Linked DNA regions of Mytilus edulis. The protein of the gene in region 2 purifies or fractionates together with the protein of the main gene of each other region. This does not show direct contact. Links are inferred from orthologs where the notes say so. Each region holds a gene or a part of one and is shown on either strand. Other genes may lie near its edges.

The links.
Region 1: the proteins of nucleoporin Nup43-like (region 2) and nuclear pore complex protein Nup133-like purify together in Homo sapiens (affinity purification with mass spectrometry; 5 studies listed by BioGRID and IntAct, counting the BioPlex papers as one, with this or other methods). This does not show direct contact. The link is inferred for Mytilus edulis from reciprocal best matches to the Homo sapiens genes NUP43 and NUP133.

Annotation. Positions count from the first base shown.
Region 1 is NC_092346.1:60,727,874-60,736,140, forward strand, and holds the start of nuclear pore complex protein Nup133-like, read right to left. Parts: upstream 3,084-8,267; 5' UTR 2,987-3,083; coding exon 2,850-2,986; intron 1-2,849. Other genes in the region: uncharacterized protein, read left to right, coding at 3,335-4,954. UniProt on the Homo sapiens protein: Involved in poly(A)+ RNA transport. Involved in nephrogenesis.
Region 2 is NC_092353.1:66,795,025-66,803,607, reverse strand, and holds the start of nucleoporin Nup43-like, read right to left. Parts: upstream 3,233-8,583; 5' UTR 3,192-3,232; coding exon 3,072-3,191; intron 690-3,071; coding exon 549-689; intron 1-548. Other genes in the region: synaptic vesicle glycoprotein 2C-like, read left to right, coding at 5,330-5,390. UniProt on the Homo sapiens protein: Component of the Nup107-160 subcomplex of the nuclear pore complex (NPC). The Nup107-160 subcomplex is required for the assembly of a functional NPC.

The DNA.
Region 1 (8,267 bases), on a different chromosome or scaffold from region 2:
GAATAGGTTTCTGACATAGAATGAATGTGGTGTAGGAATTTTAAAAATTTAAATTGGATATTTACCTATTATGTTCCCAAATCCAAAATCTAATTTTTTAATTTAATTTTGAACCCTTTTGACCTTAATACAGACCAATTTGAAAACGGGACCAAAATTAGAAATCTGAATACACAGCTAGTTTCCGCATATCAAAGAACCCCAATAATTTAATTTTTAATGAAATCAAACAAAGTTTAATTTTGGACCCTTTTGGACCCTAATTCTTAACTGTTGGGACCAAAATTCCGAAATCAATCCAAACCTTCCTTTTGTGGTCATAATCCTTCTGTTTAAATTTCATAGATTTCTATTCACTTATACTAAAGTTATTGTGTGAAAACCAAGAAAAATGGTTATTTGTGCCCCTTATTCCTTAACTGTTGGGACCAAAACCCCCAAAATCAATCCCAACCTTCCTTTAGAGGTTATAATTTTTAATTTTTGCAGTCGTATAAAAAATTAGAAACACTTCTGAACCACATCAACAAATGACAACTATTGAACATCAGGTTCCTGACTTAGGACAGGTGCAAACAAAAGCAGTGGTCAGGTTTAAACATTTTGATAGGTACAACCTTCACCTTTATCTTATATATACCATATATGTCTTTGAGTTAGTCTGGGAACAGTATATCTTACAGGAAATGAATTTATTCTAATAGGTTTATCAGGATTAAATTGTCAGATAAAATCCCGAACTTTAAAAGACTACGCAAGATTTTGGAATCGTCTGACCATGCTGACTGCAAAACCATCGAGATTGCTCAATAAATCACCAACATATTGAAAACATTCAACAATATAAGTTTTATATTTCAGTAGATATATTTTGTCATATAAAAATACCAACATAAGTGTTGGTTTTTGTTTTACATGAAGTGCTTTATTATGGTTAGTGAAATTTGTTGTTACTGAAAATGCTATCGGTACCATTTTTATTACCCCTTTGGCATTTTGTACCCTTCTTTGATGAAATGAATGTGATTATGAGAAATTTGAAGTGACAAATTACAAGTTAGATACAATGGAATCCCTCAATATGTGTAAATGACGGAAGCAGGACAAGTCGCCCCACTGGCAAGTCGCCCCACACCTAATCGCCCCACTTTTTCACCAACTCGCCCCACTTAAAAAAAAACGCCGAAACCTGGATTACCAAATCGCCCCACTTTTTAAAAAATCGCCCCACATGTGAAGTTGGTTAAATCATGTTTAATATTACCCCGGCCAACTTGCCCCACTTAATGGAAAACGGTAATATTTAGATTAGAAAAGAAAAAAAAAAAAAGGAAGCATTTCAAACATTCCCATAAGTGGGACCAATTGGAAAGCCAACACACATTTCAGTTTAATTATTTTATTCGTAAGTGGGGCTAGTTGGTAGCCTTTAACTCTATTCATACTTGTACTATTCATAAGTGGGGCTAGTTGACATTCACGTTACCGAAATATTAATACTCACTTCTTACTGCTATATTAAAAAAAAGGAATAATATAAGAAGTTTCTATAAGGTTTTCAATGGGATAGCATCTTTTTCCTTAAGTGGGACGAGTTGGCAGGAGTAATATTCACGGAATTTAACTTATATACAACGGGATAACATCTTTTTCCATAAGTGGGGCGAGTTGGCAGGAGTAATATTCACAGAATTTAACTTATATACAACGGGATAACATCTTTTTCCATAAGTGGGGCGAGTTGGCTTTACTAAATTCATCCTGGTTAATAATATAATATAAATCTAGATGTTATCGTTTTCTTTTAAGTGGGGCGAGTTGGCAGGAGTAATATTCACGGAATAACATCTTTTTCCATAAGTGGGGCGAGTTGGCTTTACTAAATTCATCCTGGTTAATAATATATTAATCTAGATTTTATCTTTTTCCATTCAGTGGAGCGAGTTTTCAGGAGTAATATTAACGGGATTTAACACATTAAAAAAGTGGGGCGATTTGGTAATCCAGGTTGGGGCGTTTTTTTTTTAAATGGGGCGAGTTGGTGAAAAAGTGGGGCGATTAGGTGTGGGGCGACTTGCCAGTGGGGCGACTTGTCATGGATTCTAAATGACATATATCAATATTATCATACCTGCCAACTGTCACTATTTACGGGGTTTTCCCCCATGGAGATTTTGAATGAGCAATTTTGTCCAAAATTTAAAATAAAACATTTAATTTTACAATGGCTATAGGCTTGTATAAGTATGAAGAAGCCAAAAAACAACATTAAAATACCTTTGAAGGCCCCCTTGATGGTTTTGTAGGACTACAAGAGCCATCTTGCATGTAAAACCCCCATGGGCATTTCAAAAAGTTGGCAGGTATGTATTATTAGAAATTATTAAGATAATAGTGAGTACTGGTTTAAACATGTGCATTTCCAAATCGTGTAATTTATTAACTATGACCAGACTATGAAATCTGCTATAATTAGGTAGTGGCAAGTCCCATCAACAACTGGTCAATACACCTTATCGCTATTTGTCTGCCATTACTGGATATCACACAGGTTCCCGTAAAATTTTGACGTCATAAAACAAAATATCTGACGCCACAATGGAAAAATGATAGTTGTATGCATCAGTAGTTCAAGCGTCTGGGTCAGCTGGGATTAGCGATAAGGTGTATACATATCGTTATGTTCCCAAGTAAGTCAAGTATAATTTATAACATGATTAAGGAGATGTATGGTAAACATTTAATGCAGATACTTGCGTATCAACTGGTTGATGTAGTTAAATAATTACTTTTTAATTTCATGCAAAAAAAACACAAACTTCTAATAATCATACAAATCAAACTCGTACTTTGAAAAGGATGATGAGCCTTTCCCTTTTGGCGTAAACAAGTTTGAAACTCTTTTATTTTGAGCACGTCCACTCTGTTTTGTCTGTGAAAATGGAGATTCTCTTGATCTTGTTGTCATTCCTCTTGGTGTGAACATTTTAATGGTTTTATATATACAACCATATGAAACTTTATTTTTTGCGGCAAACGGATTTATGTCGCTTACGTTCCTTCCCAATCAAAATAATATAGATCTACATTAACATTTTCAAGTTTTCCATTCACCCCTTATATATTCTAGTGAACATTAAAAGAAATTCAAATATAATTTCTATGATTATTTCATTTTTTATAGTTATTAAAATGATTATAACAATGATGTGAGCGGTTTGACAAAAAAAATGTAGTGTAAAGTGTTCATCTTAGGATATATGCATTGAGTCTGTCGAGCAGTGAGAGCAAACTTACACCATTAATTCCATTATGTCTCATCACTGTTGATAGTATGAAAGCGTTTGATGTTGTCAGCCATGTAATTGTGTTGGATAAGTTGTATGAAATAGGTGTCCACCCTAAAATTTGGACAATCGTTAGAGATCTATATGATGGTATGACCTCAAAAGTCAGATGGGCCGGTGCAATAAGTCCGAAATTTAATATACTACAGGGAGTGAGACAAGGTGGCATTTTGTCTCCATTACTGTATAAAATTTATAACAACAATTTACTGATGGAATTACAGGAAACAAGACTAGGTTTCAGGATGGGCAATGTTTATCTGGGATGTCCTACATGTGCGGACGATATCGCTCTCTTGTCCTCAAATCCAAACGAACTACAATGTATGTTATCAACCTTACATAGACATGCTGTGCAAGACAGAGTTTCAATTCACCCCAAAAAGACCAAAGCAGTGGTTTTTAGTAAATCAAACAGTATTAAGTCTACATTATCTTGGAAACTTGGTGACTCTGATATTTCGCCATCCAATCAAACTGTGCATTTGGGAATTCTTAGATCTGAGCTTAAAGAAAATAATCTGAATTTAGAGGATCGTATTAGTCTAGCAAGGAGGACTATGTATGCATTGATTAGCACAGGACTACATGGCTCTAATGGAATCAATCCCATCGTTGCCTACAAAATATATCAGTCTTACATACTGCCAAAGCTTCTGTTTGGGTTAGAAGTGTTGCCACTGAACAAATCACAAATAGACATTTTAAGGAAATTTCATATTTCAAATTTACGTCGATTCCAATCATTGCCGACACGTACAGCAACAGAAATAGTTTACTTATTACTTGGTGCATTACCTGTAGAGGCAGAGTTGCATAAAAGACACTTAAGCCTTCTATATAACATTATCTCCTGTAATAACTCTACTCTGAAGAACCTCATGATGAGACAATTGGCTGTAAACGGTGAAAATCAAGAAAGCTTTTTTGGTCGAATACAGGATATTCTTGAACAGTACAAGTTGCCGAAAATTTATACTCTAATGGCAGAACAACCTTCAAAATTAGCGTTCAAACATCAATGTAAAAGTGCAATCCAGAAAACATGGACTAATATATTAGTAGCTGAGTCTGTCAAAAAATCAACTCTGAAATATATCAATACAAAAGATTTGGCTGTTGGAAAGCCCCATATAATATGGAAATCGTTGCGTTCTATGGTATCTGAGGTTAAAATGGGCATTACAAAAGCCAGAATGCTTACTGGAACATTTATGACACAAGTTATCAAACACAAGTACAACATAGAACATTCAGATCAGATTTGTAAACTGTGCACAATATATTCCGAAGATCTAATGCACATCATTCTTGATTGTCCCGCCTTATTTTCAACTAGACAAATATATTATAACCGTCTCAAAATAGAGGTTATCAATGTGATTGGTGAAAGCAAGTGGTCCGAGCTATTTGGAAACAAAGATGCGATTCTTCTGCTAATTTTAGACTGTACAAATTTTAGCAAATATTTTAGTGTGGATCAACAAAATGCTATTACAAAGTTATCAAGTGTGTTATGTCATCAACTATATTTAATGAGACTGAAACTGCTAGAAAAGTCAGCAAAAGTGCCCAATAAACAATGTGGTAGTGATACATGTAAATGAACAGTGACCTTATAAATCTGATTGCTGGAGATATTGGCAATGTAGTCTTTTAAAATTTAAAATTAACCATATAAAATTCCACCAAAGACAATTTAAATAACTTTTTTTGATTTTGAAAAAAAAAATTAATTGATAAAAGTGGAAAAGTGGGTCGTGTATGCTTGTGTATATATAAAACATTCTGTGAGGAGAATTGGAGATATGTAGATAGTGTAAATAACATTCATGACAAGATATTCTTGGTGTTCCTTAAAGGAAGGCAATACAAACAGAAGAAGAAGAAGAAGTGGCGGCGAGAATTCCTTTTTCTATTTGAAGAATAGCCTGATGGACCATAGTAGAGGGGGGGGGGGGGTTAATTCAATGCAAGATCCAACTTCCAACTTAATTCGTACATATTTTAATTCTAGCTTCAATCAATAGACAAAACTTATACAAAATAATAAGCCTAGCTGTTATCTGAGTTTTTCGAATGATTTTTTACAGCTTTACTGCATTACTTTTACTTAGACTCGTTTGAAAATGCTTTCAGTTCATGTCAATGATATTATAACGATATAAACGTTATTATAGTTTCATCATAACTTTAGACTCAGACTCGGTTGATATTATTGACAATCCCGATGCAAGCCAGTATAACCATTTATCAACTTTGTATCCGAAATTTATCCCATCTTAACTAATATTATAGAAAGCGACAATTAATGTTGGCTGAGGAAAAAACATTACTACAAAAGGGGTGATTACAGCGTTTCAATTATAAACATTACATTACTTTATGAAGCAATAATAAGATTGAGAATGGAAATGGAGAATGAGTCAAAGAGACAACAACCCAATCATAGAACAGACAACAGGCCACCAATGGGTATTCGATGTAGCGAGAAACTCCCGCACCCGGAGGAGTCCTTCAACTGGCCCATAAACAAATGTTACTAAACTCCGAGTATACACCAGAAAAATGCGGCGGGGTTAAACATGTTTATGAGATCTCATCCCCCCCCCCCCCCAACCTTATACCTCTAGCCAATGTAGAAAAAAACAAACGCACAACAATACGCATAGCTAAAACTCAGTTTAAGAGAAGTCCGAGTCCGATATCAGTATAGGGAACAAAAGAAACTGAACAAAATGACAATAATATATAAATTAACAAAGGACTACTAGCAGTTACTGACATTATTTACTAGCTATTTTGGTTTCAGAAAAAAATTAATGAACTGTTTTTTTTATGATTCTCGGTAAAATTGAAATTAGATACTTTAATGAGAACACTCAAGTGTTTTACCAAGCGGGAACAAGATTGAAATATAATTATGTAAATGTTATACTTTAAATTAAAATTTAAAATACATTATCATACTACATCTTCTAAGAAACTAAGTCCCCGTGAACTTGAGTTACTGGAATTCACCTTGTAATTATATCAATGACAAATTAGATGCAGTATCCTATATCATTTAAGAATTATTATCGCAGCTATTGGAAAAATTAAAAGGACAGCAACAGCATGTCAAGGACATAACGCAAATGAAAGCCTCGATCAAAGACTTACGCCAGGATGTACGGAACGATTCGTTGCGTATCAATACTATAACAGATCGAAGAATGACCGGTGTTTACGCACTTAAAGCGAAAGTTGAACTTATAAATGAAAAGCTTAAAGATAATGATCCGGCATATGAACATCTCGAAACATCTTAGGAAAAAAGTAAATAACGTAGAGAAAAATCTGAAATCTCGTGATGAGAAAACTTTTGCAGATGTCATAAAAGCCAACCTACGTGAACAAAACATTGACTGTGAATGTGTCCGCCAAACCCCTGAGGTCTTAAGCACCAATAGTGTGAATAGCAATTCAAATCAATCAACCGAAAATTTAGTTCATGTACCGATATCACAAGGCCCGCTTCGTGCACCTGTACACTCAGCAAGCTTACTTCATGTTGAAAATAGTTATTCAGCTTCAAATGCTGGTCGTAAAACTTTAAACTCGAATGATATGCCTCAGTCGAAACAAGTTAAAACAATCCTCAACAAAAGTAAAACTGAAACAACGGGACAATTACAAAAAGACCCCATACTTCATAAAATACCAGTACATGTTGCTAATGACGCCAATATGGTATCAATTCGAGAAAATCCATATTTTCAAGGTAGTCGAAAAAATCGAGTCGATCGTTATTTTGTAAGTGGAATCAGCTTAGAATCAACTGAACATGGCATGAAATCGTTTTTAGAAGAAAACGGCATACGTTACATGTTTCTGAGATTTTTTAATAGCCGATATGGATCATCGTTTTCCGCTCAACTGAATGTGGTATGCAATGACAGCAGCATAGTTCTTGATCGTGCTTTTTGGCCTACTGGTATTCGAGTTAGACGGTGGATTCCGAAAAGTGGATTTAACGTGAAACATGAAAATGTCAAAGTTGACCAATACGGAAACTCTGATGGTGATTAAGCAACTCACGAAAATCTAAAGATATGTCAGAAAAAATAAACATAATGTGTTGGAACTGTAAAGGCGTCATGTCGGCTGTTCCTTATTAAACTAATTGTTTGGAAAAATACGATATTAACATTTGCGCATTATCTGAACACTGGCTTCGTAAATGTAATATACACTTTCTACAACAGATTGATAGCAAATACAAAATTTATGCTAAAAGTGTTGACGAACTTTTACCAACGACACAGAAATGTTCTAATTACAGAAAAGGTGTTGCACTGTTAGTCTCATCGAATATCGATCGTTATGTTGTGCACGAAATTGATGTCGATTCAGATAGGATTATGGCCTAATGATGTGACTATTTTCTTCTTCTGTGTATACTTACCCGCTGCTTCTCTCCCTATTGATTTGTTTAAAGAATATGTAGATTTACTTCACGAACTCTATTCCGTATATAGTCAAAATGGCATAGTAATTTTTGCTGGTGATTTTAATGCGAAAGTTCAAGGACCACGTGTCAGTGGTGTTCAAGACGACAGAAGCAAAATATTGCGGAGAGTTTTAGATGAATTTTCCTTAATTTCTTTAAACACACAGACTTTTTGTAAAGGACCTATACACACTTTTCAGGGCTACGAAAATGGTCCTTGCTCAACAATAGATCATATAATTGTTCCAGATAACCTGCCATTCAAACCGGAAAATGTAAATATTCTTGATGACGATGGATTGAACTTATCCGATCATTTTCCTATTATATGTACGTTCAACCTAGGCGACTCCTTTACTCGTCCAAATCTGTCAACTTCTTCAACAAACATAGCCTGGAATAAAGCTCTGTGAAATGGTAGTTTGACC
Region 2 (8,583 bases):
ATGTACGGACGGACAAAGGGTATAACTTAATGTTCCCTCAGCTACTACAGCGGGGGCAGTAAAAACATGATATACAATGTATGTCTCATTTGTCCTCAATAAAATCTGACTGCCACAAAATAGCACAACCTCATTTGTCCTCTACTAAAATGCATGAAATTATCTGATACTGGATTTAAAAATTAACTGACTAACAACATATGAAGGGTTTCTATTTGACAATGATAACATACATGTACAAAATGTATAACCCCACCGCATATTTGTGCCTGTCCCAAGTCTGGAGCCTCTGGCTTTTGTTAGTCTTGTATTATTTTTAACTTTAGTTTCTTGTGTATAATCTGGAGTTTAGTATGGCGTTCATTATCACTGAACTAGTATATACATTTATTTAGGGGCCAGCTGAAGGACACCTCTGGGTGTGGGAATTTCTCGTTGCATTGAAGACCTATTTTTGACCTTGTGCTGTAGTCTGTTATATGGTCCGGTTGTTGTCTCTTTGACACATTTCTATTCTCAATTTTATGTATATAAACTGTATAACAAACCTCTAGCCCTGTTACATCTCCTATATGAGAGGCCTCACAAATAGGTATTGGGTCATTATCAACATCCCCTTCTGTTCCCCTGCCATCTCCATCATCAAATTTCTTTTCTCTATTAACTTTCCATAAACATACTTTATTTTCCTGCAAAAGAAAAGATTTAAATTTAACATACTTCAATCACCCTAATTTTGTCCAAAACAAATCATAAATAACTTTCTGTGTTAAGCTAATATGTATCCTGCTTTGTGAAAATATGCACTGTATTTTTTTCCCTTAAATAAGCTCAACCTGAAAGGCCTCTATATTGTACATTATCATTTTTTCTAACTTTTGGGTTGTATTTGATGGAATGGCGTTGGCACACTTGCTCCTGTAGAAGGCAATATTAATTTAGTTAAATACCAAGAAATACTTGATGAACATTAGAGGCTTATTAGCTCAGCAATTTTGGGTAGGTCATCCTTTTTTCCAAGATGACAATGCTCCTGTCCATCATTGCACAGTACACCCACAAATTTGTAGCTTAGAACGGAATACATTGTTAGCTGGCCTGCACAGTCATCAGACTTAATTTGTGCCCTTGAATGTGATAGAAAACATTTGGTTATACAATGTACATTGTATATAAAAAGAAAACTTCAAACACGTACTGGGATGATTAAATCTACAAAATGAAATGTTCGAAAAAATTTATCGTATTTGCATGATTAGGGTCAATATTACGCCCTTCGATATTCATTGCTTAATAAATACAATTCCGAAAAGGATATTAAATGTAATCAAGCTCAAAGGACATCTAACAAAGTATTAAAGTAAGTTTTATAAATTTGTTGCATATTTTTATTGCATGCTACATGTACGTGTATGTACAAATGTATGTGAGATTCAACTTTGTATTACAGGTTGTCAAATTAAACAGTTTTTATGTTATTTATATGTTTTTATATTTGGTCAAAAGCTCCTTAGAGCTTGTTTTGTATATTTGTACTTATGCAGAAATCAAAATAAAATTTTCTTACATGTACATGTATCTTAATTTTCTATTTTTTTGTATTTCACTGGTTGATTTATTTACAGCGCAAGCTTGAACTTTGCAACACTCATTTTCAAAGTAAACATGCCGCCATCATGGCCATTGTGACTTTTTGCATTTCTCTGTAGGTGAAAATCCATTATTCAAATTTATTCTGTTCACAAATTTCCCTCTGAGGAAAACTAGGCTTATGCATGAAATTAAAACATTTTTTAACCTCTAAGTTGAAACAAGAGCTATCCTGGAACTATCTTCTATAAATGTAGCATCAATAGAACACTTTCGAGTTTGTCCGTCACCAGATAATCTCATCAATAGTGCACGCCTTTATGTCAGACGTCATTTACCAGATAGAGGGGATCGCATGCATCCCTGCACTATAAATGCTCATCAAGTGTCTAAGTTGTCGTCATTGTGGAGGATAAACTAGAAATAATATTTTTGCACTTAATCACAATTCTGGTGCCAGCTCCACCAGCGGACTATTTTGTCATACCAGCACGACCCTAGCGAACGATCAAAGCCAAAACATATTCAGACTGTGAAACTGACAATATCATCGAACGTCAAGGTCATCAATAACACCAGAGGACTTAAAGTACCAAATATAAACAAACCACAGAATAAACATTCATTTTTTATGGAAACAACTATTCACTGTAACCAACTACCAGATAAAGTTGTGCATGCAGGTTCTGTAGAGGCATTTAAGACCACTCTACAAGAACACCGCCCATAACAACGGCGCTTTTCTCCACCGTGTATAAAAGCCTAAACAGGATTCTACACATACATGTACCACTATAGATACAGACAGAATTCCCTAATGACAGCAGTGCTGAAAGACAATAGACGTATTTACACTTTGTATGCAAATTTGTCCGCCATTACGTAAAATCACACAGGTTCCTGTAAACTTTGACATCATAATTTAAAATATTTGACGTCACAATTTAAAGGTGATTGTTGCTTGACGTCAAAAGGTGATTTGGAGTCGATCTAAGGTCATTCTGGGGCAAGATACAGCTAAATACCAAAAGTGTAAATACGTTTATTAAAATGACATGAATGAGAATTTAATTTGCCGAATAATTTGTGCACTTAAGCTTTATAGTTTTCCAACCACTTACTCAACATTTGAACAGAAGTGATGACGCCCCTAAATGCAAGAATGATGTTCATTAAAACCAAAGTTCTTGACGGAAATGAGTCTAAATAGAAAGTTGTCTTAATTTGTCATAACATCACTCATCAGTCATCACTTCTCTTAAAATAACAAGATGCCATAAAATAATCAGTTTGACTTTCTTTTAGTAACCTATTAAATCATTCCTGAATGGATCTTCATTTAAAAGTCATATGCAGTCTATAGCTATAGCTCAAATACATATAATTCGAGAATAACAGGGAAAATGTAGCAAATTGTTAAAGTTTTGTGTTTATATGGTTTATATACTGTAAGAATCATTCAGTTTATGATATATAATGACCTCATCATCCCAGCTTCCTGTGACAAATGTGTCTGGTCCCTCAAGACTATTTTTTATAATGTTTTTCCATCTGATTTTGCTGATTTTCTGTGAAGCAAATGTTGCTCTTATGTCAGCCATTTTCAAAATTTGCACATGGCGGGAACATCCGGAACGATGCCGGATTTTTTCCGGAATTCATTCCAAAATTAAACAAATGTTTACATGTCAAAAAATAGAATTTTGTCATCACAAACTTCAGTTCAATACAGCATTTGAGAGTCAATGAACCTACAACTAAATGTTTCACACGTATAATTCATTAACAGATTTATATGAATGGTAAGATATTTATTTTTGTTTCTTCCTATAAACTGATCATGTCATATAATATTTTGGAAATAAGGCTGTGTAGACGTTAATTATTCTGTCTAAACTTTCTTGTACTATAGTCTATACACATCCTTTATGGTTAGCTTGGGAAAAAATATACAAGGGTACGACTCCGAGTTGTAAGTAAGTTTAGATTTGATTTTATTATTTTATGTGCTTATGTCACAGGCGGATTTAGGGGGGGCCAGGGTGCCCGGGCCCCCCCTTTTTGGGAAAAAAATTGGTTGCTTATATAGGGAATCACTGAAGCATGACTGGAGCGGGCCCCCTCTTAGGTCAGTCAGTAGGCCCCCGCTTATGAAAATTTCTGGATCCGCCACTGCTTATGTCATGTATGTGCTTGATGTTTTTTATATCCTGTTCTTATGTAAAGAATTAAGTTGCTTAGCTTTTATAATAGTATTTAATATGGTATACACAAGGCAAACATGGCTGATTGCATATCAACCAAAGTGTCTTTATCACCTCATCGCTATTTGTCCGCCATTACTGGATATCACACAGGTTCCCATAAAATTTTGACATCACAATACAAAATATCTGACGCCACAATGAAAAAGTGATTGTTGTTTGCGTCAAAAGTTCAAGCGAACGGGTCAGCCGGGGTTTAGCGATAAGGTGTATAGGGCCCATATTGAGCATATAAATCTGATCCAATAAAAATCACTGAGTTCATGCAATATCTACACACGTATGGAATACTGGTGGTACATGCTTTTTGTATACATTTGTGGTCATAAATAAATAAATAAATAAGTGGAGAGGGCCAGTACAAAGAGGGATAACTCCATTTGTAACTTTGCTTAACTTAACCCTTGACAACTTATCAAAATTTTATTGGGGCCTCATTGCCCAAGTGGTCTAAGTACAAAAATGTAGTTACTACTGTAATCACTAGCCAGTCAACACTGAGGTTGAAAGCCCCCCCCCCCCCCTTTTTTTTTTCGTGTGGGTGCACTTGACTCCAATCTTAATTGACTAGGATTGTCAGTTTTCTTATCTAAGGTTGGTGGTTTTATGCGGGCACTCCGGCTTCCTCCACCAATAAAAACTGGACCCAACAAAATAGCCTAAAACCTGGGCTTAAAAGTGGTGTTATTACACCAAAAATTATATCAATCAAAACTTTGTCAAAGAATTGTTTTATTAAAAAAATTTAGAGGGGACATTCAAATATGAAATGCTCTTCATCCATCATGTCCATGTCATCTTCAACTTATCCAACATGCATGTTTTAACATAACATTTGTGATCCATCTATAGTTTTTCGCATAATTATCTGTCTCTAATTTTAAGGAGTGTGCAATTATTTTTATCTTGCCTATCTTTAATTTGCTTAATTTCAAATAGTTTAATTACTTAACAAACAAACAAAAATGTTAAAAGAATAATTCAAGAGTTGACCTTTGTCTGATATTAGAGTATTTTCACTTAAATCTTTCACATGTTTTCATTTTCAAGTTATTTATTCTTAACTGTATAAAATAATTACATATTACAACATTTATATTATTTAGGTCAAGATCTTGAAAACCATTTTGTAATATTTTCTAAGTGTAGCTCTTTATCTAAAATATATATGTGTCATACATTGTATAATAAACCATTTAAAATATATATGTGAAATCTCCTTAATTCAGAAATAACGTCAAAATAATACTCGCTTTTCTAATTTCCAATATGATCAGCGAAGAAATATGTGCTATTAAATAATTTGTAGATGTAAATAAATTAAAGAAACAACCAAATATCTGTTCCAATACAAATTCTCAATTTTGAATATTTAGACCATTCTTAGTATTGGACCGGGTCACTTTACATACATGTATATTAAATGAGATAGAAGTTTTATTTTGATTTTTCTTTGTTTTTTAGCCTGATCTCTGATGGAAGAGAATTTCAAGATGTCACGGTCTGATGAGTATGACCCACTCATTGCCAATCAAGGTAATTATTATTTGACACTGTTACACTCAGTCATTAAATTTTCACTCTTTTATATACTCTTTATTTGGAGCGTGTTTGTGTAAGTATATTATTTTAGTGACATATATAAAATTTACAAATTATCAATATACAGTTTAAATTCTCAGGGGAAATAATTTTTATGTCTATCTAATACATGTACCTGTACTTAATTTTTTTTCAATTTCCAATTTTTCTGTTATTCTTTAAGTGGATGCATGCTTTATCATGTTTTTTGTACCACTTTAGGAAAATGTGTGAATTAATACCATGTGAACAGTGGCGGATCCAGAAATTTCATAAGTGGGGGCCCACTGGCTGCCTAAGAGGGGGCCGATTTCGTCAAGCCTCAGTGATTCCCTATATAAGCAACCAAATTTTTTTCTCAAAAGGGGGGGGCCCAGGCCCCCCCCCTGGGCCCCCCCTCCCTTAATCCGCCTCTGGTGTAGCATCATTGTAACTATTAAAGTTAAACAGGTAAAAGTATTCTGTGATCAGGTAAACTTCATTGGTCTAATTCATCTTTTGTCACAATCAAAGTTTTTCATCAAAAACTTGGTCAAGCTGGTAAACTTGGTTTAAATCATTGGTTGTCACTACCAAAGTTTTTCATCAAAAACTTGGTCAAAACTGGTAAACTTGAATTGGTCCAAGTCATTGGTCATTTGTCACTACCAAAGTTTTTCATCAAACTTGGTCAATGGAAAATATGGTAAAATAAAAAACTGAATTGTGTTAGTTTAAATAAAAATAGCATGAGCTTATATTTCTTCAATTTTCAAAGTGTTGAGTCTACCAACAATTTAAGAATGTTATGTGCTCACACAAAATGTACTTCGGTCAATGCTTTTACATCCCATAAATTTACAAAAAGAAGCATTCAATTCTTAAATGCAATTTTTTCTTTTGTGTATGGTATGTTATTATGAGGACATCGTATATATAATGGTCAAATGAAAAACTTTTGTAAAATCTCAAATCTTATTATATTGCAGCAGCAATTTATGTCAACACATAATGATGTTTAAAATTGGCAAAGGGAGATAATTTGGAGTTTTTCAATGTGATAAACATTTTAAAAGTCATCTGGGGCCAAAATGAAATCATGTTTTTGATTGATATTTATTTTTACCATATCATAAAGTAACAACTGATAGTGTAATAAATGCAATTTGCAATAAAAACAAAAAAATAATATTTTTGCTGACATTTTTGTACCTTCCAGCCTCCTTTAGACTCACATTATCATTCATGATTGTCTAATGATGTTGCTAACAGATTATATACATAATACATTCATCTTTATCATACAAATTTAACAATTTATTAGAAATTTTGTAGATTTATATGTAAAAATTGTCACAAATATCAGATTGACATTTTATGAATTATTGACTTCCATATATTGTTGTCATTCTGCCAATAAAATCTTTTCAACTTCTTATGATACAATTCATTTGTTTCCCTAAAGAATATAAAATAATGTAAGCATTTAGACGGCCTTTAATTTACACTTAAATCAGTTATAATAGCAATCAGATTATTTTGATGTTTTTTTTTATATTTACTACTCCAAAATGAAAATTTTGCAGGGATATGAAAACAAATATGACATAATTATATCAGACTGAATTTTATAAAAAAAAACCTGAAACTGTAAACATCTAAATAGCTATTTCTTGTTTCACTGAAAACCTGATAATACTATATTTAGGAGTAAACAATTTAAAGGTTCATGTTTTATATAAAAAATACTTTTACTAGTAATTTCCGTGTATGCTAATGACTTCAATTTATAAAAAAAAATCACGGATGTAGATTTTTTGAGTCAAAATGAGAATGACTATCTCTATTATATGGATTTAAAACCAGAAAAAAACCAGAAAACATCATTCCTTAACATTTTTATAATAGAATATAATCCTAGGTGAAGAAAAGTTCAGGAAAAAAGCATGCTATTAGATTAGGTTAGATAAACAACAAATAACAGATCAGGTACATATATAGCAAGGTAGACTCAACTTAAACAATACCAGCTGGTCAATTTAATCTAAATCACTCAATTGTAATGTCAATTTTATAATCTGGTTAGACAGGTTGAAAAACTAGGTAAAGGTTAAGGACAGCACATACCAGTACATGTATAGTTAGATCACAATAAATGAAATTTAAAACCAGTCAAGCACATCCAATTTATGTGCTGATAGATTTTACACTTTAATATTTTTTAACCACATTAGTTTTATACATCACATTAAGTGTGGAGATAAATATATATGTATTCCTCTTTTGATGATACCTATGACTTAACAGGTAAGTATATATATACATGTATATATATTATGTAAGACTTATTATTTACATTGAAAAGGAAAATCGAAAAGTATCAAAATATATAACAAGGACTCTGTAACTTTTTCATGTTCTATCAATTATTTTTCCAGTTTCATTCTTTGCTTTTCCAGCAATTTCATGAGTCATGAGTGAGGGTCGGTATGGGGGTCCTTGGTTTCAGTGTTTTTTTCTCATTTCATTATAATGTTTCTCTGTTTTTCTTATCTTTTGATCCATTTTTAGGTGGTATTGGCCCATTACTCTATATTATGTTAACCAGATTGTGACCCTTATGAGTATAATTATGAACTGAAGCTAGAAGAAGTCTCGTTTTTATATGATTGTAAAATTTTTGTGGTCGTATATTGCTAGCACGTCGTCATTGTCGTCACCATCGTCCAAAGACACTTGATTTCCAGACAATAACTTTAGTTTAAGTGAATAGAAATCTATGAACCCCAAAATGAAGGTTTGGATTGATTTTGGGGGTTGTGGTCCTAACAGTTTAGGAATTAGGGGCCAAAATAAGCATTTTTCTAGTTTCTAGACAATATTTTATGGAACAGTGTAGGGATCTCTCTGAAATTATACCACAAGGTTCCATACCAGAAACGGATGGTAATGATTGGACTAAGGGGGTATATGGCTCAAACTGTTTAGGAATTAGGGGGGGAAAATATGGAAAAAACAAGGGTTTTACTGGTTAATGGACAATTAAGACAATTTTAAAGCAGTGTAAGGGAGGTTATCCAAATGATAAAAAAAAATGTTTGGATTACCTCCCTTACCCTGCTTTAATGTATGTATTTTTTTCTCATTTCAGATTTTCAGAAAATTATAG